Linked DNA regions of Caenorhabditis elegans. The protein of the gene in region 2 purifies or fractionates together with the protein of the main gene of each other region. This does not show direct contact. Each region holds a gene or a part of one and is shown on either strand. Other genes may lie near its edges.

Region 1 (9,295 bases), on a different chromosome or scaffold from region 2:
CTCTTTGAAATAAGATTAAAAGCTACAAATCCTTAATTATTCAACATATTTCTTTTTGAGCTCATATATGGTTCTTGCTCTTAGGTGGCATACTAAGCTTTCTATTTTGAGCTGTTCCTATAATAGTATAAATTGTGATGTTTAATTTCTTATCCGCCACCTACACTTTCGGAGCGCTTGGGAAAACCGAACTGAGGGAGTAGATTAAAGGTTCTGAGAAGAAAAAACGTTTCCGCACTTGATATTCGAAAGTTCCCACGTATCTTAGAGTCATAAAGTTTTGTGTCGCACCTACGCAAAAAACAGAACACAAGTTTTGTTTTTTTTTCTCTTTTTGAACTAACGAGGGATGCACCTTTTCGAAATATTGATATCGTTTTGAATCTAAAGAATTTCTAAAAAACGGGATCATGGAAATTTAGAAAAAAAAAAGGGTTCTTGGCTAAACAAAATGGACTTACAACTTTAAAAGCAAACGTTTTTCGTTGTTAATTCGAGTATCAATTTTTTTACATTCAAATCAAAATAAATATAATAATAAATACTAGTTTGGAAACTAAGTTCAGAACAGTCAACAATCCAAATAGTTTCGCAAATTGGTCAGAAAGAAATACCAGATGAACTTAACCCATGCGATTACTGTAGCGCACCTCAAAATGAGAAAAATGAAACATCTCTAACTTGTGAACTACTGAGTGGAAAGTCCCGGATAGGTTGGTGATAGATAATTCAATTTTCAAAAAATTAATCTTTATTTCTAGAAGTCATATCTCTTTTTATGGATTAAAAACTTGTTATTCAGTTTTGCTTGTGTCAATTTCAATGCTTTAAAAAAATAATGTTATATCGTAGCTAATAAAGTATATTACATCATTCGGCAAACTGATAGAGTAAAAAGGTTATGTTTTAACTGGATTGATTTGACACACCATCCATAAAATTTTAACTGTGGAGTAGTGCTAATAGAAAATTTTGAAACCACTTTAACATTGCCAAAATAATGAAGTTTGATGGAAAAATTGTTTGAAAATTACATTGTTTACAGTCGAAAAGTTCACTTAGTCCTCACATACATATTACAATTTTAGAAAAACTGTGTCTATAATTTTCAAGTTTTGAGTCTATTTTAATAAATTGTATCTAGACATTGTAGGATTCAAACAAGTAATTTTTATAGACAGGTTGAAAACTCAAATTTTGTATAAATTCTTTCAATTTGAAGTTTTTTTTTGAAATCTTGTTTGTCATGTAATTTCAAAAGTGTATTTGCCTTTAAAAACAACTTTTTGGGGAATAACATATTTGAATACAAGAATCTATGGGATGTCTACATTATTTCTTTCTTTTATTTAACTTGAATTCTTTAAACTTTAACGAAACAACAAAACATACATGATCATTATCCTGATTTTGAGCAGCACTTTGCTGCAAAGACGCTGTTCCCGGCTCCACGATTATCTGCTCAATCATCTGATCGTAGTTATCTCTCTGTTCGGCCAAAAATGTTTGCCACTTGTGACGCTCCAATGGGAGATAGTGCAGAAGCAAACGCCATGCCAACGGTCGCAGAGATTCGGGAACTCCGTAGCTACACCCGGCTCTCAATTCGTTAATATCGATTTTCTTATTTGCAATGAGAAGTACCTCCTCGATTTTTGCAAGACGTTCCATATATCGAGACGTCATTCTGAAAGGTAGAGGTAGAAGGTGAAAAAGGTTTTAAAAAAAAAAGAAAGGAGGAGAAAAGACAACATAGGTAGAAACAAACGGAAAATAACAAAGCTAGTAGAAAAACCAGTGCAGGTAAACATAGAACCCAATTTTTCGTTTGAAACTAATATTTTGAACCCTTCATTTAGATAATTATTGACAAGAAAAATGCAAAAATCCCAGATAATTAGGCACTTATAATTAGAATTTGAATAGAAAAAGGAACATCAAACTATATAAATTAAGACCCCGAGATTAATAAAGTGACTTTCAAAATAAAACATATCATGAAAGATGAATATCATCAATGGTGGTGTAACTGAATGACTATGTTATGAGAATTGGGTGATTTCAACTAGAACTTGGTGAGACAATGACTGGCATATTTTGTATGGAGTTTTGTGGTTGATAAAATTCTGAAAAACTGGTAAAATGATGAGAAAACGAATGGTAATTAATATACAATACATATGTGTTGGAATAGGAATAAGACTGAGATAAGAGAGTTTGAGAGAAATAAAGACAATCGAAAAAGACCGGAATATGATTGATGTAAAGTGAGAGACGCAGCGAAAACGGGTACAACAAAAAGAGGTTGATCGGTGACCGGCGATTTCAGAAATGCATAATGAATATTTAACATAAAAGATTGATAAAAACGAATCAAAAGAAGAAAGGTAAAGTGGGTGAATAAAAAAGGCACGGAAATTGAGAAAAGTGGGAATATAATAAGCGTAGTTGTTGATCAATATCAGTATCACGGCATCAAATATGAAAGTTGCTTGTTGGAAAGTGTCAATTGGCCAGTCCCTGTCACTTCACAATCAACTCGAAGAAGAGTATACTGAAAATTGAACTCAATAAAACTGAAGTGAACCTACATATGAATCTAGCTAAAAGCTGCACATATTACGAAACTGGTTTAAAAATTGCAGCTGTTGAACACATGCCGAGTAAAACCTATCCGTTAAATCTCACGCAGGCAAGCACAAGCAATATTCCTACATGATATCTCAGAGTTGTAAAATCAATTTTTAAACTGGTTGAATAAATTTTATTTTATTAACTGCAACTTGTAAAAGCTTGGAATTATTCAACAGTTTTAGAGCTCTACTTTGGTAATTTTTTTTGTCAAAATTCTGGCAATTCAAAATTAAACATATAAAGTTACAGTTAATACTCTATAGATCCATAGAATGAAAGAAACCGTTAATCCAAAAATCAAAAAAAAAATTTCAAAGTCTCTCTTTCTAATAACGATGCAACGTAACACTAGTGACATTTTTGATAATATCTACACAAATATAACTGCTCCTACTACTTGAACGTTCAAATTGATTTTAAAAAAACTACAATCAACCAATGGCTGTGATCAATTCATTTCTAAATCTCAAATTAAAGTCACTGTAAAAAATAACTCGCATTGAACGTCAGGAAACTTACAGAGACATGAGAATTTTGCAATTAATATATTTTTTCTGATACTGAAGGCAAATTTGACAGTTGTGAAATCAATGCCTACAGTTTAACAAAAATATTTTTTTTTACTAATCATATTTTTTTGAACTCCCTAGTTACCTGATCTTGGAGAGTTCCATTCATTGGAACACTAGGCAGGAGCAACGATAGTTTGGGAACCGAGTTTGCTCCTTTAATCAATGAAGGCAGAAGCACGTAGTCTTGAAGTGTCATAATGTACAGTGTATCTCCCTTTTGGCGAACAATTGAAGCGATTTTGTCAATATCTTGTCGTTTACGTTGAATTTTCTCGTTATCCAGTTGAATATTGTTTCCGCTTTAAATTAATTATTATTTACATGTTATTGAAATAGTTTTGTTGTTTGCTGCTGGAATTGCAAATGCATTTGAATAATTTTCAATTGGTCCGACTTCTTCGTTTGCAATTACGGTCATGTCATCTCAATACAAAGTGAACAAAGTAAAACATGAACTCGAAGTTCGATTACGTCGGTAGTGTGCCCATTCGTGTCATTATGAATTTTAAATTAAAGAAAAAGTCTACTTACGTCTTCAGTAGATCCAACTGCTTCCATGTACGTTCCCGAGATCTGAGCGCCGCTTGCTCTGATTTCTTTTGAACCGCCAATGTCTGTGGTCCATAAACTGAGGCTGGTTTTACTTTCTGTGCGTAGTTGAACTTTCGCATTGCTTCCTTATTTAATAGTCCTCCCGAAAACTTCATTGGAACATTATCAAATGAATGTACTTGTACCCAGCGCTCAATGTCGTTGTTTACTCTGAAAAGAGTAGTCAGTTATAAAAATTGTTCATTTTCAAGTCCCTCACCTTATTGTCTCTGTGGCGTTTAGTTTGTACATATCACAATCATTTTGAGTGGAGTTCGGATAGTTGTGGATTGGTTGTTGAGTAGGCTAAACTTTTATAAGAGATTTTTAAATATTAAGCTCGTACACATACAATTTTTGCAACAGGAGCACTATCTTCATACGTGATGACTCTTCCGTGGCGAGCAACCATAGAAGTTTCGTTGGAAATTGCCATGATTTGATTGTTTATATTCAAATTGTTATCGACATTAAATGGAGAGATGACTGCAAAAAGTCCGAACATCATTAGTACTGAACCAGCAGCAATAATTCTTTTTTTCTTCTGATTTCTTCCAAAGGGTTGTGGAACTTCGACAACTGGCTCTTCGTGCTGAAAATGTATTTTAAAATGTTAAAATTTTTATGAGTTCAGAACTACTTCAAAAAACGCAAGGCGTTGCTTCAAAGCGGCATTCTCAGTTCTTAGAATCTCGTTTTCTTGAAGCAGTTCCTGAAGGTTCATTTTCATATGTTCATCGGCTTCCTTCTTGCGCATGCGAGAGGCTTGGGCGTACATTCGGTTCCGAATTTTTCGATTTTGCTCGGAAGTAAAAACCTGGAAATTGTAAAGTCATGAATTTAAATATGTTTTGAAGATAAGCTCACTTGTGGTTCTGCTTTGATATCTACTGTCGGAGCAATTGGAACGTATCTTGGCTCTTCGGACACTTGTCGAACCAGCGGACCACTTTTTGGTTGCATATGAATTTCTTGAACCGGCTCATTGTAATACATTTGCTTGATTTGGCGTTGCGTAGCTTGTGAAGGAGATGGCATCTGAAAAAAATTCGAATAAACTATTTTACTTGACGTTCAATCGCTCACCAAGGGCTGAACAACTCGGTATGTTTGTTGCTGACTGCCGGGTGATTCCTTGACGCGGTATACTTTCTGGATTGGTCTGCTGACAATACGTTTCACAGGCTGTGACTGTTTGGGGAGAATTGTGATAATTCGTTTTTGTTGCATGGGCAAATGCTTGGCCGGTTCTTCTCTGAGGTATCTTGCGTTCATGAATTCATTGGTGGGCTCGGCAATCACTTCGTCGTCCTGATATGGAGAGCCAAATTGTTGCTCAAAATTCTCGAATGGACTGCGACTCTGCAAAACAAACGACTAAGTATGATATTGATAGATTAGGATTTTGTAGTTGATATTAAATTTTGAACAAGATTTTGTGTAGTATCCGTACCCCGAAATTAAAAGTAAAGTAATTCTGTAGGAAAATTTTGTCTTCGTGCTAAGTTTTCATGGTAGGAGCAAACATCATACACACAACAACTTGCATGTAAGGTTGTTTAAAATAAAACACATTTCCATTAAACAATAGAGTGTAAACGATCCGTTTCGACAAACATTTTTAACGAGTTTTGTGCGAAAAAAAACAACTTACTTGAAAGCCAAAATCCCACATTTCCTGGTCATTTTCTGTGAAGTTTGCACAACTCAACGGTGGAGAGCTATCCGACGAAGAATCTCCTAAACTCCCGCCGTCTCTTGAGCGAAATCCAGCATTCTGATCACTGAAACCAAACGAAGAGGAAGAGGTCGATTCTTGTGATTCGTCGGTCCCGTAAAGTAGGCTCTGAAAATCGATATTTTGTATTAGTGGTCCTTTCAAGACACAGAAAGAAAACTCACGTCCAACTCTAGCTGGTCAAATTGCGGCGGAAAATTTGGGTTATGCAGGAGATCATCAAAGTTTGATTCATGAACCGTATTGTCAAAGTTCATCTGAAATTTAAAAAGTTTTTGAAATACAGTGTTAGAGAAAAAAAAGAGAAGAATAGGTTTCTAAAGACAAATAATCCTAAAACTCAATCACATTTTTAGAAACTGGTAAGATTAAAAAAAAAATCTTAGATATATCTCAATAGCAAGAAACGAAAATCAGGTAGATGAAAGAAGTGACCATGAAAAAAGGAGGGCAAGACGATTAAGGATAGCATCCAATGAAATATCAACGGAGCGCGTTTGCACACGACCCCGGCTGGCACACTGCCAGTACGCCGGTCAAACGACCGGAGAGGCAAGGGGGGGGGGGGCAGAGTCAGAGAAAAAGAGTCCCCGGCACAGTGACAGTGAGAAGGCCACCACAGTAGATGAGGACGAGGTGGCGCTCTCGCAGTGTTTGTTCTGTCGCAGAATTTTTGTTGCGGAGGAAGAGGAGTGGGCAAGCGAAAATGGAAGACGGACAAAAAATGGAAAGTGGGTCACTAAAAGTATAGTAGTAAGGTAATAAACGGGGAAGGGATAGCGGCTATATTACTTTACGATCTTATTTTATAAACCAAATAAAGAAACCACTAATTAAAGCAAAAATTCATAGAAAAAAAAATGATATACTGTATTTTCTCTACTTGTCTTTAGTTTTTATTTCGGTTGTGCATAATTTTATCAGTCATTGACTAATACTGTTTGCCTTCTTTTCTAAAGCTCAACAGACGAACATCCACTGGGTTTGAAAAAAAGACCAAACCAAATTTAAGTTTTAAATTTCAATAATATGCAGAGAAAATTCTACAATATAATAGATTGTCCTGTGACTGTAGTTGTATTAGAGAAAATATTGGGTTTCCTAATAGTTTAGCATTGACTTGTTGACAGGCGAGCAATACTTTGTGGAATATTTGTTTTGTAAACTTTTTTGTTTTTAGGGTAAAGTCAATTTTCGAAGTTAAAATGGCCATTGAAATTCCTAATGGAAAAACATTCATATTTTTAGTTGGCGTCAAATCAGTTTCACAAAAATAATTCTTGCAATTTATATTAATCTTACACCCCTACAATTTGATGGAAAATTAGTACGGTAGTAAGGTAGGCGATATTGCAATGTTTGTATGTATACAATTTAATTTTCAAATACAAAATTCGATAACCGCGCAACTACACTAATAAGAAATCTCTAAATACTTTGAAAAATAACTTTTTAGTGAACCCCAAGTATTTTTTCCGACAATTTTCTTCAAATATTAAACAATGTCTTCTAGAAAACCAAACCAATAAAAAGCAAATCATGAGAAATTTTTTTCCAAGAAAGGAACACTTTCAAATAATATCGACGACGAAAACTTTTATTGTGTATACTCTTGCAAGTGGCTTTGAAAGTTCTGGTATTTCTTCACATCACACTTTGATTTGTTAGTACATAAAAGCTAACATTTCTTGTCAAAACTGTTCCAAAAGTAAAAGTATCAACAAGAATGATCTTATAAACAATACACAAGAAATATGAACCTCTGTTGATTAAATTTACCCCGCAGTGAAAAACAAACACTTTGCATTAGTATACACAAAAAGAACGAGTGGAAAAAAAACGACGTGACGTGTAGCATAGTAGCACCAAATGGAACCGCACTTCATTTGAATAAAATAAAAGTGCAAGTGAACACTTTTTGGCTAGGACTACACTAATCGTCGTCGAGAACGGCCGGGGGATGCTAAGTGTGTTACTATGGCATTGAATTATGTACGAGGACCAATGTGCACTTGTGTGTGCTTTTGGGCAATCCAAGCAGCGATTCATAAAATAAATTGTGTGGGGTGGAAAGTGGGCGATGCTTTGTGAAATAAAAAAAATTAAATTGAAAGCTAGTGATGACCTTTCAAATTCAGAAGCTTCAACCATAAAAAGTGATTAAACATGATGCTATGGAATAATATAACTGGTGAAGCTACTACAATAAAATGTTAAAAAATAAAAAAAAGTACTTGAAGGATATAACGCGAGTTGCTGTGAAAAAAATGTCTTCCCTTTTTTAGGGGAAAAACATTTGTAAAATCTTCATCGTTTTCACTATTAAAAAAATATTTTAAGTGAAAAAATTATTTTGAAAAATGAATGTTGCTCAAAATTTAAACTTAAACTGGAAAACAATTGGTTATACTTTTAAAAAATATTTTCATAAAACCGTCCTATCATTATAGAAAACACGTGAAAGGACAATTCTGATACTACCTGAAACATAAAGTGCTTGTTATCGAATACCCTCTCCTCTGTTAATATTTAAAGAGTAACGTTGTTAATTTTATTGTTATCAGCAAGTGTATTCATCATAACAGGGTATTTATAACATATGAAACAGGGCATACAATTCATATTGTTAGTGCAAACGAGAAAGAAAATAAAGCAGGAAAACGGGGGGACGCAAACAAATTTGAACAACTGTTGAATATAATAGATTAAACTAGTAATATGTGTATCTATCGTAGAAGTCAATTTCCGGCAAAATCGGTCTAAAGCTTTATTGAAAAAATGCACTCATATGTTTAGCATTTTAAAAAATCTAATATCTCTGGTAACGGCTCTCTAATTAGATATGTTATAATTCCAATTCCATGTCAAAAATGAACGTTATTTTAGTTTTCTAGAAGCTTTTGCAGAGTTTTAGTTACATTAGTTTTTGTTTCAAGTATTGGTTTTCAACTTCTAAAACGCATTTTTTAACGGCTGACAAAATACTAGAATATTCGAAAAAGTTTATATCCAACAGTTGCAACCGATAGGTTGGCAAAAAGGCAGTTTTAAACAATCAATTGAATCTAACATTGCCGTGGAATAAAAATTTTTGTTGCTCTTTATATCACTTTTTAATTTAGTTGAAAGCCTTCCATGCTGATTCGAACAAATCGTCATGTTTCAAAAACTCCAAGTTCAAAACTTCATATCACTTTAAAACGGTTTGCGAATTATAGTTTTTTTTTACATGAAAATGTGTTTTTTGGTTAAGACTGTGCATTAGAAACAAACATAGTTTCGATTATCACTTCTTATTTTGGTTTCACTTAGATTCTCTTCAAAATGTTGCATTGGCGAGATTTTTTTTTTTAATAATTTTTATCCGTTTGACAGAAAACATTAAATGCAAAGAGCATGTTCTGATATTTCTATTGCACCAACGCAAATAAAAATGTATGAAAGAATGTCTGTCTTCATTGTTCAGGACCTTTCTGAATTTCGGTAATTAGAACCTTCGCGTTTTTGCATTGCCTTGCTATCAATATGTTCATTAGATATTTTTATGCACTAGCATTAATTTTCAATAACCTTTTAACTTACTACGTCAAATGTCCTTACAAAACGGGACAGGTGAAATCTAGAATAAGTAGATGTATTTGAACAAGGCTTTGAAACGTAACAGGCTGATCAAGTCTTTGCTCCAAAATTGCAATCTGATATTTGACAATCACAAAACATTTGTGGTTCTTACACTCCCTTGGTAGTTTAATCACTCTTG
Region 2 (6,716 bases):
TCGAGCTCAAGATACTCCATTCGGAAAAGTTCCTATACAGGACAATTTTGCGATGAGTGGACCACGTCCGATGCCTCCGCGTCCTATGCCACCTCAACAATCTCCGTTCTTTAATAATGCTCCTGGAAACGGCTTCTATCCACCACAACCACGTGATTTTTCCCCGCCGCAACCTCCACAACAATCTCGAATGTTCCCACCGTCTCAGCCACCATTTGGATACGCTGGGCCTCCGAATCAAGGACGAGGAAACCCACGTTCATTTTACGGCTAAAATGCTCTTTCAGGACTCACCTTGTTCAATTCCTCTAATCGATCGCAAAGATCTCATCTAGTACTATTTTATAAGTAGTGTGTTTTAATTTTATAAATACCTGATGTATAGTTTTTGCTTTTTATACAATTCCTTTTTTCGTAATGAACTGTTTTAAAATTACTTATTCTTTTTAGATATTTTATATTCATTTCTTGTGTTCAGTGGATCACAATTGTGTACTTTTTCTTTTATTCATTTTAATACAAATTTATTGTTCTATTAAAAATAAGTTAGAAATTCATGAAAGTTGGGATTTTCAGTTAATCTAGAGTTCCTCTTTTCCTGGTCTGACAAGTTTCTCAAGTGAGAGATCGAAGTGAAGGTACGAGTTTCCTGGAATTGCTGGAGGTCTTCCATTTTCTCCATAAGCGAGCTCTGGTGGAATAACAACTTTTCTCTTCTCTCCCTGACACATTCCTTCCATGGCAATGTCCATTCCCTTGATAACTTGTCCGGAGCCCATTTTGAAGATAAATGGACGATTGCGGCTCCAGCTCGAATCGATGAAAGATCCATCCTCGAGATTTAGTGTGTACTGTTGATGAAGTGTATCTCCGGCTTGAGCCTTTTCGGTGCATCCCTCTACCTCGTGAGTAATGTGAATGTGAACTCCTTCATCAGTGATCCACTTGGCTCCGGGTTTTGGACGGAAGATTGATTTCAGCTCGACGAAGTAGTATAGAGTTTCTCCTTTCTAGAATAGTACAAATTACCATTTTATTTGTTTTGCAATTTAAAAATAGATTTTAAAAAATATAAATCAACTTACTCCTTCTACTTCATCTCCATCTTCGTCGAATCCTTGCTCTGGTGGAATGATCACTTTTCGCTGTTCGCCGACACACATTCCCTCCATTGCAATTTCCATTCCATGAATCACCTCGCCTTTTCCAAGAGTGAAAGTGTACGGCTTTTGGCCAAAGTTGCTTCCAATCACCTTACCTTCCTTGTCGGAAAGCTTGTAAAATTGCTCCAATTGATCTCCAGACTCGGATTTGATTTTGCATTTTGAGTCTCCAATTTTCTTGATAATTTCAATCTTGACACCTTCATCAGTGGTCCATGAACGGTCATTTGCTGCCCAACAGATGGCAAATAATGCTGAGGCAATAATTGATTTCAGCATTTTTGTGCTGGTTCGGTTTAGTCACTGAAATGGTTACTTAATTGTTGTAAATAGGCGGAATAAGTTACAAGAAAAGAAAAATCAAAACTTTTGAATTCAAAAGCACTACACGTGGAAGGAAAAGAAGGAAGCAACGACCGTCTTGCAAGTGTCTCCTTCCACTCATCTAGTTTATTCCGTTCTCGGTGGCTACCGCCACATCTCCTCTTCAGGTTTTGTTGCCGCGCAGTCCGAAGCCTGAGAGACGCAGATGAGAGACCTTCACCTTTTTATCTGCGCATTGGATCGGTTGTTTTATCAGAGAGATACTTGTTTTTTATTCACCACAAATCAATAAGTTATAGGTAACACAATTGGGAACGATTTAATGACGTGGCAAGATTATGGAAAGAGTGCGGTTTTTTTTTGGTTGGCATAAGTATTGAGATTATCGGGATCTCTGAAAATTAAAACTAGTTAGGTTTTTTGGGAAAATGAAATTTCTCACTTTGGAATTCAAATTGACTCGTTCTGTAAAACTTGTGTAGATGAGATTTCCAACTACCAAAAGTATCAATGATAACGATATGAAAATAACAAATCCGGCGGAGACACGGATCATAAGAGCAGCATAGTCGTATGGTTTCTCGATCTGAAAATCGGAAACTTTTTTTCCTAGTTGAACAATGCCTCTTTTTTGAGAAGGTAATTTTCAAATATTATATAACCAACAAAATTAACACTGTGGTTACGGTAGTATTTACAAAGTTACTGTAGACGTCGCAACGAGATATTCATTGTGCCAAATATGCTGCACAGTTCGTATAATTTCTGGCGGTTGCGTAATATATCGCAATTTTTAATCTCCTAAACTTCTCACTTGAAGGTACACGAATTCATTCATATAGGTCTCACCGCGAGGAAAATAGATCGTATTTTTTTATAATGAATATTAAAGATTTATTTATAACTCATAAATAAGAGAAAACTAGATTATTTCTTCAAATATAATAGGACTCACCTGCATTTTGGACAGATTTACTTTTGGAAAAAGATGGCGTGCTCTGTAACGACCCACTAATCGTGGAGAAAGTAAAGTGAATTTCGAAACGACGCGACGAGAGAACGTATCATGAGCGAGAAGCCGGGCAGTGTGCTTGAGAAGAGTTTGTCGAGAGCATCTTGTGCCCAGACCCAGCGCGGGAGAAAGAAAAGAGAAAGCGGTGGGAGAGGTTTTGTATTGATTTGCGGACATATAACAGATGGGGGTGGAGCTCTTGGAGTCATTTGTCAAGCTAACTTCGATCATCATTCGTCAAATTAATTTATTGGAACACAATATAATGAATGAAAGGAAAGAGTGAATTGGAAGCGTGTCGATTTACGGAGCTCGTGTACTCCCCGAGGAAAACAGTGAATTTTTGTTTTTCAAAAAAATATATAGTTCTTTGTGAAACGATTTTCGCGAATTCTTTTGTCAGTTAATTTTGAAATCGCTAATTTGTTCAATATTTTTATAGTATTCCAAATAAAATTCGCATTATTTACTGTTGTAAATCTACGAATTCTCGTTTTCTGTGGTTTTGAGTAGTAAATTAATAGATTATCCTCGAAAAAACTCGACGAAAATACACAAAATATGAGATATTATTGACGATTTAATAATCCAGAAATTTGAAAACTTGCAGGGTTATAAACCAGGAGTGCTTTTCGAACATTTTCGAGAAGTTTGCATAAATTTGCATCAGATAATACCTTTTTTCTAATTAAAAATATTTTATTCAAAATTTCAAACAACACCGTGCTAATGTGCTCTAGTGGAAAAAATCGTATTAATTTCGAAACTTTTCATATTTCTTTCTCACTTCTTCCATTGCTGCTTTTCACTTTTCTTGATAGTTCTCTTTTTTTTTGTTGAAAAAAATCTTATTTTTAAATCTTTTCAGCATGTTTTCCAATTCTTCTATGTTCTCTGATTAAAAAGCGCCGAAAAATCGATAATTTTTCTATAAAACCCATCTTCCCTTGAGAACAGTTCTTCCCCTCTAAAACGCGCATAAAACCAGCGTCTTTTACCACCTCTTCACGTTATTTTTTGCTTATTTTTAGTACTCCCTAATATTCACTACAATTACAGATGGCGAACGCTAACCTGACTCCGATGCCGTTTGTGCGAAAATTCGGATCTACCAGTACAACTGTAACTACCACAACTGACACAGATAGCCCATTATCAAAAGATGATGAGTCAGGTAAGTAATCTTAAATTTTCAAAAATTAAATTACTATGGATTTATTCGCAAAAAAAATGTTTCCGAACAAAAAACAATTTAGGGGACGAAAAAAGCGAAAAAAAACTTTTTTGAAAACGACTCCAAAAAAGAAACTTGGTTTTTTGGAAAAAAAGTATTTATAAATTTTTCAAAAAAAAAACTCAAAATCTACTTTCAGGTAAAAAACCTTCACTTGCTTCCCTAGCACAGTCAGCGTTCCCATCAAGATACGACCCGAACGCCTTTGTAGGTACGGTAGTTCATAGGAAATTAAAATCACATAATTTGTTTAATTTCAGATATATCAGGTGCCGCAATATCTGCCCCCGCAGTCACGGGAGCATGCAAAAGATGTGGATATCCGGGTCATCTATACTTCCAGTGTCGAAATCACATTGAAGTACGTCCAAATGTATCGACAAAAGCGTACGAGGTCAGTTCGACATCATCTGAATCAAGTGACGACGAGACTCCGCTCATTGCTTTGGAAAAGCAGCGGAAAAAGGAGAAAAAGCTGAAAAAGAAGGCGAAAAAAGAAAAGAAGAAGGCGAAGAAACTCGAGAAAAAGGAGAGAAAGAAGGAACGGAAAGAGAAGAGAAGGCGACGAGATGATTCTGATGATAGTAGTGATTCTGATGAGGAAGAGGATAGAAAAAGGAAGAAGAGCAAGGAAAGTAAAAAGGAAAAAAGAAAACGCCGTCATTCTTCCTCAGATGATAGATCAGCTTCTTCCGATTCTGATGATGACTGTCGTGACTCGAAACGTCACCGTAGATCATAATCGTGTAATATTGATATTTTAACTCTAAATTTTTATTCCGACAGTAACCACCTCCACATTAATATTTTCTCTATTCAAATTTCTATTGTTTCTCTTGTGTCAAAAAGTCCCCATAGTGAAGTTACTAATTAAATTAAAAACAAAAAATTTTATAACTTATTTCGACTTCACTTTAATCAAAAATTTGAGATCTTTATTGAATTTCTGTGACTTGTATTTGTTCCAAATGATCTGTTATTTTTTTTCTTCTTGTTTTTCAATTACGAATAAATTGTATTTCATTCGTCTTCCTCGCTTCGTTTTGGCGTTAGCTCGGCTGACACTGAAATTTGATGAACTTTTTAAAAGTATTCAAATTAAAATATCTGCACCTTCAGCATAAACTTCTGGATACTTTGACGACAAAACTGTTTTGAACATGCGAATTTTTTTGAAAATAAATTCCAAATCAGTTTTCATCTGCAGAATTGTCTCTTTGTGTCCCACAGAATCCCTTTTTGCTTTTTCAATTCTTCGATCGCCGAGTTGAGCGCAATTCATGAGCATTTCATTTGTCTTTTCGAAGCGTTTCAAGCTGAAAAAAAAAGAAAAATCAATAAATTCTAAATTCTCCAGTATATTACCTCTGTCTCTGAGTATCAATTATGCTTTGAATTGTGAATTCGTCGATTTGAGAAGTGAGCGAATCGATGAGATGTGGTGTTTCCTGCATATTATTAAATATTTTTATTCCTTTTTCCCATTATTATTATTAGAAAGCTTACGGGCATGTCAAATGAAGAGCCAGCGTTGCTTCTTGATGGGAAAAACGGGTTGCCAGGTAGTCGTTCTTGTTGTTGGTGATTTTTCTCAGCCATTTATAACTGAAACAAAAAATTATTAATAAATGTTTTATTCTAGACACAACAAGACATAAAACATGAATAACGGCTGAAGCAGGGATTGAGAAAAACAAGAAAAAAGCATGAGAAAATGGAAGAAAAGAGCCGCGCGCTGTGAGTGTGCAACTCGAAAATGTCAAAGCAAATTTATCGATTTACGCACGCGCGCACTTGCTGACACGCATCTGGACGGCGTTCCGTTTCATTTGAAAATAGTTAAAATTAAGCTAATTGTTGATTTATTTATTGAATATCAATTATAAATCTTTTCACGAGAATCCATTAGTGACCACCACCACGCTCCGCTAGTCTCCCCGCACCTTTATCGATTCGATTCGGTCAACCGAATGTTTGTTCAAGCTGTTGCGCATAGATTTGTGTTCTTGTTCCGCTCATATCACATATATTTTTGCAGTTTTTGATGCCAAATGGTGAGGAAACGAAGACGTTACTATACTGGAATGACATGCTAATGATGAAGATTATCGAATTTGTTGAGAGGTTCAAAGATCGAAATTCACTGGAGCTTTCGAGTCGAAGATTGAGAGAATTGTGCTTGAAAACTCCGATTTCTGGAAATTTTGCGATTCGATTGGAAGAAGATCCTAATGTGAGATTGCTTATAATTATTTTAAACCTGTATTATAATTATGTTTTATTTCAGTGGCCATCAATTCTCACTCTTCTCATGCGACCTCGTAATTTCTCGTCCCGTCTTTCAGTTCGAAACTGTTCAGATGTTCCTGAAGATGAACGTAGCGAAATAGTAGGCTATAATTACAAGGATACTATTCAAAATCCAGGTAATTACTGCAAAAACGATAATTTTCAGGAATTTATTATTAAATTTAAGATGTTTTCTTCAACGGAGTCAGCAAGCGACTTCTCAATCGGATAGTGGAGTTTGAAATTAGATGCCGTCGATTTACTGTACAAATTCTGGACAATATAGAAAAGTTTCCCAAATTAAACAGAATCATTGTGAGAAATGCACGAAACTTTTCGTTTGAATTGGATGAGGAATCAGGCGACGCCGCCGTTTTGGATCGAATCGAATCATTGGAACTTCATCTCGATCGACAATGGTGTACGGAAATTGAACGAATGAAACGACTAATAAATCCAAATTTGAAACATTTCTGCTGCCACGTCAATCCGAGCCTATCTAAAAACTCGTGGTTCATTGAAGAAATTATGGTCGAGATGGCATTGCATGAAGTTCAACTGGAAACGTGTCAGCTGGTTTTTCCTGATCCACAAATGCCGCGAAATCTTATTATTGCTTTGACTCAATTCATGTCGGATAGATCACGAGTTTTACAAGTATTCATCACAAATGGACCATATAATCTTTCACCGA
Region 3 (6,665 bases), on a different chromosome or scaffold from region 2:
GGGATGCACTATAAGTGCTACATGCCCATCTAATCATTACCCCGTTGCGGATACAGTTGCAAGTTGGTCCGGCCTCCCGAGTCTTCCGAGTGACATAAGAGATGGCCTAATCGTGATTATGATTCAACGATGCGCGGCAATCGTCAATTTTTGCAACTTTGGGTTTTAGAATTTCCTACTATCAGGAATTCCGGCAGTTGTCGAAATTACCTAAATTGCCTGAAATTCGATTGCCGTGCACCCCAGTATGAATGATATTCTTATTCAAAAAAGTTTCCGTTTTTCAGTTTTTCAAAACACTTACCGTATTTTTCCCTCAACTTTGGAACAGTAACCAATTTTTTATAGAAAAATTAAAAATATATACTTTTTCAATAATTCATCAATTATTTGAAAGGTCTTTTAGTTTGATTTGTCACAAAAAATGCCAAACGTTGACATTTCCGCAAAGCATTAGACGCTAATTTTTTCAAGTTCAGTATGCTTCAATGTGGAATCGAACGCTCTATAATCAACTTCCGCCCACTAACCCTGATTTCGTATCTCTGTTGGGAATACAATGTGCCTGCGATACGAAGTCGCTTGTCAATGACAGATGTTTTGCATATTTCTGGTACATTACCAGATACCCGTTCGGGTATTATTATTTCGACAATAGAGGCAAAAAGATTGTCGTTAATGAAAAGATTGACAACGTCAGATCCACCTTTATCTCAATGTCTTGGTACTCTGAAATTAAATTACGTCATTAACAAATAAAATACCAATTTCAGCAAAGAATGGCCGTGAAAGGGACAGAAGTCGTGTATTGTGTCGATTGTCGTAATAAATGGTTATCATACACTCATTGTTCAATGTCGTTGCAAAAACGTTAATATAAATGTTTAAAACATAATGTTTTTTGTTGAAGATTTGCATGTATTTTACACGCTTACAACGACCCAGGCACCCGTGGCGTCATTAAAAAAATAATACAATACAAAATAGTGAAGATCATCTCTCAATTCCGCGGTTGACCAATGGGACGCAAGAACGAAACTAATGTGGATTTTCTGAAAGATCCTTTTTTTTTTGAAATACGTACTATAATAATCGCCTTCTTCTTTCAGAACTGTCTAGCTATTTTATTGCAAATGTTGAGCTTTTCTGAATTTAAAACATAATTTTATTACGGAATATGTAAAAATTGACAGGTGGTCAAAAAGTAGACAGATTTGTTTGATGAAAGATTTAATTTCTGAAATTTTGTTAAAACGATTGTTGAATTATGTGTGCTTTCTGTTCAAGAACATAATGACGAATGCAGTGTACTTTGAATTAAACCGTATTCTATTAGTACTGCCCCCCCCCCCCGACTTCTCAAAAAAAAGGTTAAAAAAATGTTATCCACTCAAGACTTTCTACAATTTATTCTCAGATCTATAATATCAAATTTCAAGAACTTTCAGAAATAAAACCCCCATTTTCCAAATTTTTGAACCGTTTAAAAATTAAATTAATAAACGATCTCAGCTTGACTAACACACTTTTAGGATTGATAACAAAAGATATAAACCAAAAGTGGTGGAGAATATATTCAGTGGCTTATTGGCGGTTCAAAGGCGGCCTTATTCATATTCAGATACAGAAGGCAGCCCTGTCCAGAAACTACTGTTGTGTTTCAAAATTTTCTCAATTAGTTTTGCAGTCTTCAACATTCTTACATTCTAACAAGCCAAAATAAAATTAGTTGCACATCATATGTGGTCTGCGTCTAGTGCGGAAGGACTATTGTATTTATTGATATCTTAACAATAGTCTACATGGACATTATTTATTGCTACAATCGACGAAGTTCAAGGCCACTTTGTACTGAAAAATCAAACTCACAATCAGTTAAATTCAAAATAACCTAAAGTCAAAATCATTTACCATCTGAACCCAAGAACTTTAGATTTCTTCCCTCCCCAATCCTCTCCGGTGATGTATTTCGTTCCAGTATCATCCATGTATGTAACTCCATACGGATATTGTGTTACATACCATTCCCCTTCATGACAATATATCCCGAGTTCGACCATAATGTTTATAGAGGAGTGTTCTGGCTGATCTTCTTCGGGAATCGTGGGAATCAGCTGAGATTGTTTAGTCAAGTTGATGATGCATTCTGGTTTCCCTTACCATTGCACCCGTACGATTACCAATACCAGGAATCTCCGACCCGTCAAAACTAGATCGGATGAATGTTTGGGAGTCTGCATTACAAGTGAAATTGCTACTGCAATGATTTCCATTAAAGGTGTACAGAATATTTTCAGACGAATCTGAAATCAATTAAGTTGGCTTGAGAGCTAGCCCACCAATTTAAATACCCTCGACCAAGCTCATCAGGTCTGAACATCTGCACATATTTGCGCTGAAACTTGTATATATTTTTTTAAATCGTATTATTTCACGGGTACCAAGAAAATCGTGAATCCGTCGACGAAACTATTGATCTGACGCCTTCCACGCTGTACCCATCAATAACAATCTTCTCATCGTTTTGATTGAAATAGGAATACCCAAATGGGTATCTTGTCACAATCCACTGGCTTGTACTGCGGTCACACTGCATTCCCAACAGAGAGACCAGGTCAGTGATAGGACCCCCGGCATAAACCCCCATAGGGTCTGTATGATTCCAAGTGAAAGCAAACTAAACGTAATCAATCTTGAGGGTGTGTTAAAGTGCTTGTAACTCACAAATGTATCCTCGTAAATGTCACTTGGAGTGGGTATGTCGGACAACTCCCAGGACAAAGTTAGCCACGTCCAATAGCCGACCGTGCAGTATACGGTTCTGGAGCAACCTAGCCCCTCGTAGTATACCGTGTTTTCTGCATCTGAATACATCTAGTTACGACTAAACTGTCAGAGCAGCTGGCTTACCGTTCAGGTTGTCATAGAGATTGGAGCACGGGCAACTCTGGTTCTGACATGCTAGACGTTCCATGCAGAAACACGAAAAAAATATGACCAGAAAAGCAAAAATTTTGATTTTCATGTTGTCATGTGAACAATTCTCTAAACGTCTGTCCTTTTATTCACCGAGTTGGTTCGTAAATTGATCTGTTAATATGTTAATAGCTAGGATGTTGGAGCACCAGAGATCAATACTGTAGACATTTTGATTAATTAACACAAAAGATGTTCGGTCAGTTGCCATTTTAAGATAGAGCCGGATAAAAAGATTTTGTCGACATCAGACCAACTTATACCAAGAAAGGTAGGTAGAAGGATTCGCCTACCTACCCTTTAGTTATCACGCTTTTCATCACTAATGAAACTTTTGTAAGCCAATCTTGGGTGTGTTGCTTTCCATGGGAAAAAGTTTTAAACTTTTCAAATTATGGTCTATGTATATTCTTGAATTATAACTTTAAATTTCCGCAAAGCCGGAAGTAGTCAAGCATTGATGTTTGGTTAAATACTCTAATTTGCATTTGGAAAGTAACACTTAACAAGATTATTGATCAGCTAACCGTATAAAAGCCACTCAAAACTATACTGTCTATGGTCGAAATGAAGCAATATCTCATTTTCCTACTTCTCATTTGCTATGTTGCCTGCGAAGACGAATATGGATGCGAAGACGATTGTGAGTGTCCAAGCTTTCTTGATCTAATAACAAGTAAGTTTTTGCACTACCTACTACCTTTTCCTCCACCAAATCGTTTTTCTACATAGATGAAGAACACATATTTTACACGGAAAATGCTGGATGCAATCGGAATGCGACGTGCGTGCCAGGTACTCATACTACAATTGCCTTTCGTTGGAGAGAATCCGAAATTCCTAAGCCAGATGATGACGTTACGGGCCTTGGAGTGAGTCTTCCATGCTTTCAGTAAAAATTTCTAGATTCCTGGTTCAGACTGTTCAAGCTGTTCTTGGTACTGCCGGCCCATTTGACATCTTTACACAATGCGGCGTGATCTGTGAAAATAATGAATGGTACATCACAAAATATCCAAGAGGAGCTGTCTATAGAGGATCGGACTTTTCAAACAGCCTGGTCGAAGAGGACACTGTTAATGGGCTGAAATCCAAGGTCTTTTTTGTATTGTGGTAAGTGGTAAAGGTGAAAACATGATTAATTTAACAATATTCCAGCGATGAGTGTCCATCTTGAGTGAGCTCAAACCTGGAATAAACTAATTGAAATGCTTTAAAAATAATAAATGATTTCAGCTTGACTAACACACTGTTAAGTTTGATAACAAAGTATATAAATCCAAAAGCGGTGGAAAATTTATTCAGTGCACCATCGACGGACCTTATACCGTTTCATACACAGATACAGAAGGCAGCCCTGTGCTGTATGACTTTGGTGCTTTCGTTTTCAAAAAAAAAAGTCGGCACATTGTGCCGATCGGCACTCGTCACTTCGGCACATTAGAAAAGAAACTAAATAGCTTCTTAAACAAATCAAATTCTTTTACCATTGAAGTTAGTAAAATTGAAATTAACATGATAAATTCCGTACATATTAATCAATTTTTGAAGTTTCTTTGCATTTATGAGTTTAAAAAATTAATTTTGGTGAATATTCCGAACAGTGCCGAAAAAAAGGTCGGCATATGCCGATGTGCCGATGCAAAAGTTAGACAATGTTCCGATTCGAACCAGACGGCCTCGTGGATGATATCAGAAAAGAGCTTCTGTAAAGATTTTTTTAGCAAACGAGTCCCAAAACACAAACTCTAAATTTAACTCACTGTATAACATTATTCCGTTTCCAGAAGATCTTTCTAAACTCTGGATACGTTGTGATGACTACCAATGAGTTCAACGTGGAGTGTGTAGTTGCTATCATCATTGAGTACCGGGAAATCTCTAAAAATGCATATTTCTTCCCGAAATGCAGTGGAGAGACGAACCTTGTGAGTATCTGGTTGGAAAGTTTGTCACGACGAATAGCATGAATGCTGGGATAAACGAGACAGGGGTAGTCATGAACTGGAAATTTGAATTGGAATTTGAGCTTTATTACTTTTTAGCACTGTACCTGCATTATCAGGCTTCTCAGAGCAATCTTATGCCTACTCATGGCACTCTTGGACAATTGACTTTGAACCGCAGTTAACGCATTATACATTCGAAAAACTAGAAATGATATGACAACTGTTGTCTTAAAGGTCCCAAACACTGTAAACACAAAGAACATTTACTTGACCTTTACCTATTTATCCTATTTATCCTATTTATCCTTGACCTATTTATTTTTTGGTTGACCCTGAGCCCCCTCCCCTTAGGCAGTCCTACTCAATTTTATCCAATTTACGTTTTTTTTTCAGATAATGATCAAGTTCATTATTTTCTCCGCAATCCTTATCGGAGCCATTCTCGGAGCACCATTGGCTTCTGACGATGACATTGACAATGTCCACGATTGCTCCGTCCGTGACAAATTTTTCAGATTGTACAGCACCGGGAAAAACTGCAGCAAAGTAAGTTTTACATCACCTTTTTATTATTAATTTAAATTTTTTCAGGGAATGAGTCGTTATCATCAGTGTCATCAGGACACATCCTCGACTCGTTGTAACTACTACCTGAAGCAGTGCGATGAGTACATGTTCTGCCAACGGAATGGTGAATGCGAGATTGAATACCAAGGTGGTGTTAAGACCAGCGTTTGTCCAGGAGTGGAAATCAACGAGTTTGACTTCAAGGAGTGTCTCGTGAAGCTGCTCGCCAACAAAGTGAGATCGGAATGCCTTGTCAGCTGGGATCCATTCATGCAAAGATCAGGAGGTGATGTATGCGGTGCGTTCTTCGGAAGTGCAGCGTGTATGAAGAAGGAGATCACCGAGACTTGTGGAGAAGCCGACTGGAGAATGGTTCGAAAAGTGGGTTTTATCGAAAAGTTGCTCGAGAAGTATAAAAAATTTGTTTCAGTACGTCGCTCGTCGCACGCCGGAGATCAGAAACTGCGTATCTTACAGGCTTCAGTAGATGTGTAATTTTCAATAAATTTTTATACATATTATACAACGTATCCTTACAAGACAAAACTCAAATTCGAAATTTCTGCAAAATTTGAAGCAAAACACAAAAAACTAGAAGAATCTAGCTCAATTTTAAAATTTCTAGTGGTAAATCCAAAAGGCACGTAGGCAAGTAGGCACGTAGGCATATAGGCACGTAGGCACGTAGGCATATAGGCACGTAGGCACGTAGGCACGTAGGCAAGTAGGCAAGTAGGCGCGTAGGCACGTAGGCAAGTAGGCAAGTAGGCACGTAGGCACGTAGGTAGGCGACAGGCTATGAAACCGCAGCTGTTTTCCTAGGAAGCTGCAGGTATTCGTAAACATCATTCAACAAATACTTTATTAACAATTAATAAGCTCCTCCACTACATCGTCGCAATCAGCTGAACTCGGCCGTGAGGCTGAAATAATCAAAAAAATTATGAACTGCCTAATACACCTAACTTACATGAATCGAAGATGATTTGAAGAATTTTGGTTGCGGTAGTTTCCTAAATTAATTGGGCAATACTATCTTAATTTGAACTCTATTCTACTTACCTTGCTAGGAAATTCCTGTACTGAGAGGTGGATAGGATCAGAACGCCAGCGTTGACTATTGAATGAAGTGCACAGATTGCTAGGCAGAATTGGGCGATTGCTGTAGTTAGT

Evidence for each region. Proteins that work in one complex are often made in the same cells at the same time.
Region 1: the proteins of C13F10.7 (region 2) and atf-6 fractionate together in Caenorhabditis elegans (co-fractionation; one large-scale study listed by BioGRID). This does not show direct contact.
Region 3: the proteins of C13F10.7 (region 2) and T10D4.11 fractionate together in Caenorhabditis elegans (co-fractionation; one large-scale study listed by BioGRID). This does not show direct contact.

The regions. Positions count from the first base shown.
Region 1 is NC_003284.9:12,477,445-12,486,739, reverse strand, and holds atf-6 (Transcription factor atf-6 homolog), read right to left. Parts: upstream 5,793-9,295; coding exon 5,700-5,792; intron 5,644-5,699; coding exon 5,452-5,643; intron 5,160-5,451; coding exon 4,884-5,159; intron 4,836-4,883; coding exon 4,665-4,835; intron 4,615-4,664; coding exon 4,438-4,614; intron 4,390-4,437; coding exon 4,150-4,389; intron 4,104-4,149; coding exon 4,018-4,103; intron 3,969-4,017; coding exon 3,738-3,968; intron 3,506-3,737; coding exon 3,289-3,505; intron 2,555-3,288; coding exon 2,468-2,554; 3' UTR 1,836-2,467; downstream 1-1,835. Other genes in the region: tbc-13 (TBC1 domain family member 13), read right to left, coding at 1,393-1,686. UniProt on the Caenorhabditis elegans protein: Transcription factor. Plays a role in the unfolded protein response (UPR), perhaps mainly during constitutive endoplasmic reticulum (ER) stress, by activating transcription of genes involved in the UPR.
Region 2 is NC_003283.11:7,220,095-7,226,810, reverse strand, and holds C13F10.7 (CCHC-type domain-containing protein), read left to right. Parts: upstream 1-3,558; coding exon 3,559-3,673; intron 3,674-3,872; coding exon 3,873-3,944; intron 3,945-3,993; coding exon 3,994-4,475; 3' UTR 4,476-4,753; downstream 4,754-6,716. Other genes in the region: gei-6 (GEX Interacting protein), read left to right, coding at 1-274; fkb-3 (peptidylprolyl isomerase), read right to left, coding at 582-1,010, 1,086-1,442; C13F10.1 (50S ribosomal protein L6), read right to left, coding at 1,870-1,881, 1,930-2,073, 2,443-2,733; kxd-1 (KxDL domain-containing protein), read right to left, coding at 4,754-4,797, 4,847-5,049, 5,099-5,181, 5,240-5,332; C13F10.6 (FTH domain-containing protein), read left to right, coding at 5,832-5,966, 6,021-6,159, 6,210-6,716.
Region 3 is NC_003280.10:3,146,597-3,153,261, forward strand, and holds T10D4.11 (CW domain-containing protein), read right to left. Parts: upstream 3,026-6,665; coding exon 2,911-3,025; intron 2,865-2,910; coding exon 2,725-2,864; intron 2,678-2,724; coding exon 2,442-2,677; intron 2,396-2,441; coding exon 2,352-2,395; intron 2,304-2,351; coding exon 2,161-2,303; intron 2,115-2,160; coding exon 1,912-2,114; intron 1,852-1,911; coding exon 1,836-1,851; downstream 1-1,835. Other genes in the region: T10D4.15 (CW domain-containing protein), read left to right, coding at 1-169; T10D4.1 (DUF19 domain-containing protein), read left to right, coding at 3,544-3,652, 3,709-3,848, 3,896-4,093; T10D4.14 (G_PROTEIN_RECEP_F1_2 domain-containing protein), read right to left, coding at 4,625-4,682, 4,740-4,857, 4,902-4,980, 5,030-5,119; T10D4.19 (T20D4.11-like domain-containing protein), read left to right, coding at 5,322-5,471, 5,517-5,873, 5,923-5,979; sri-32 (Serpentine Receptor, class I), read right to left, coding at 6,380-6,415, 6,463-6,505, 6,555-6,654.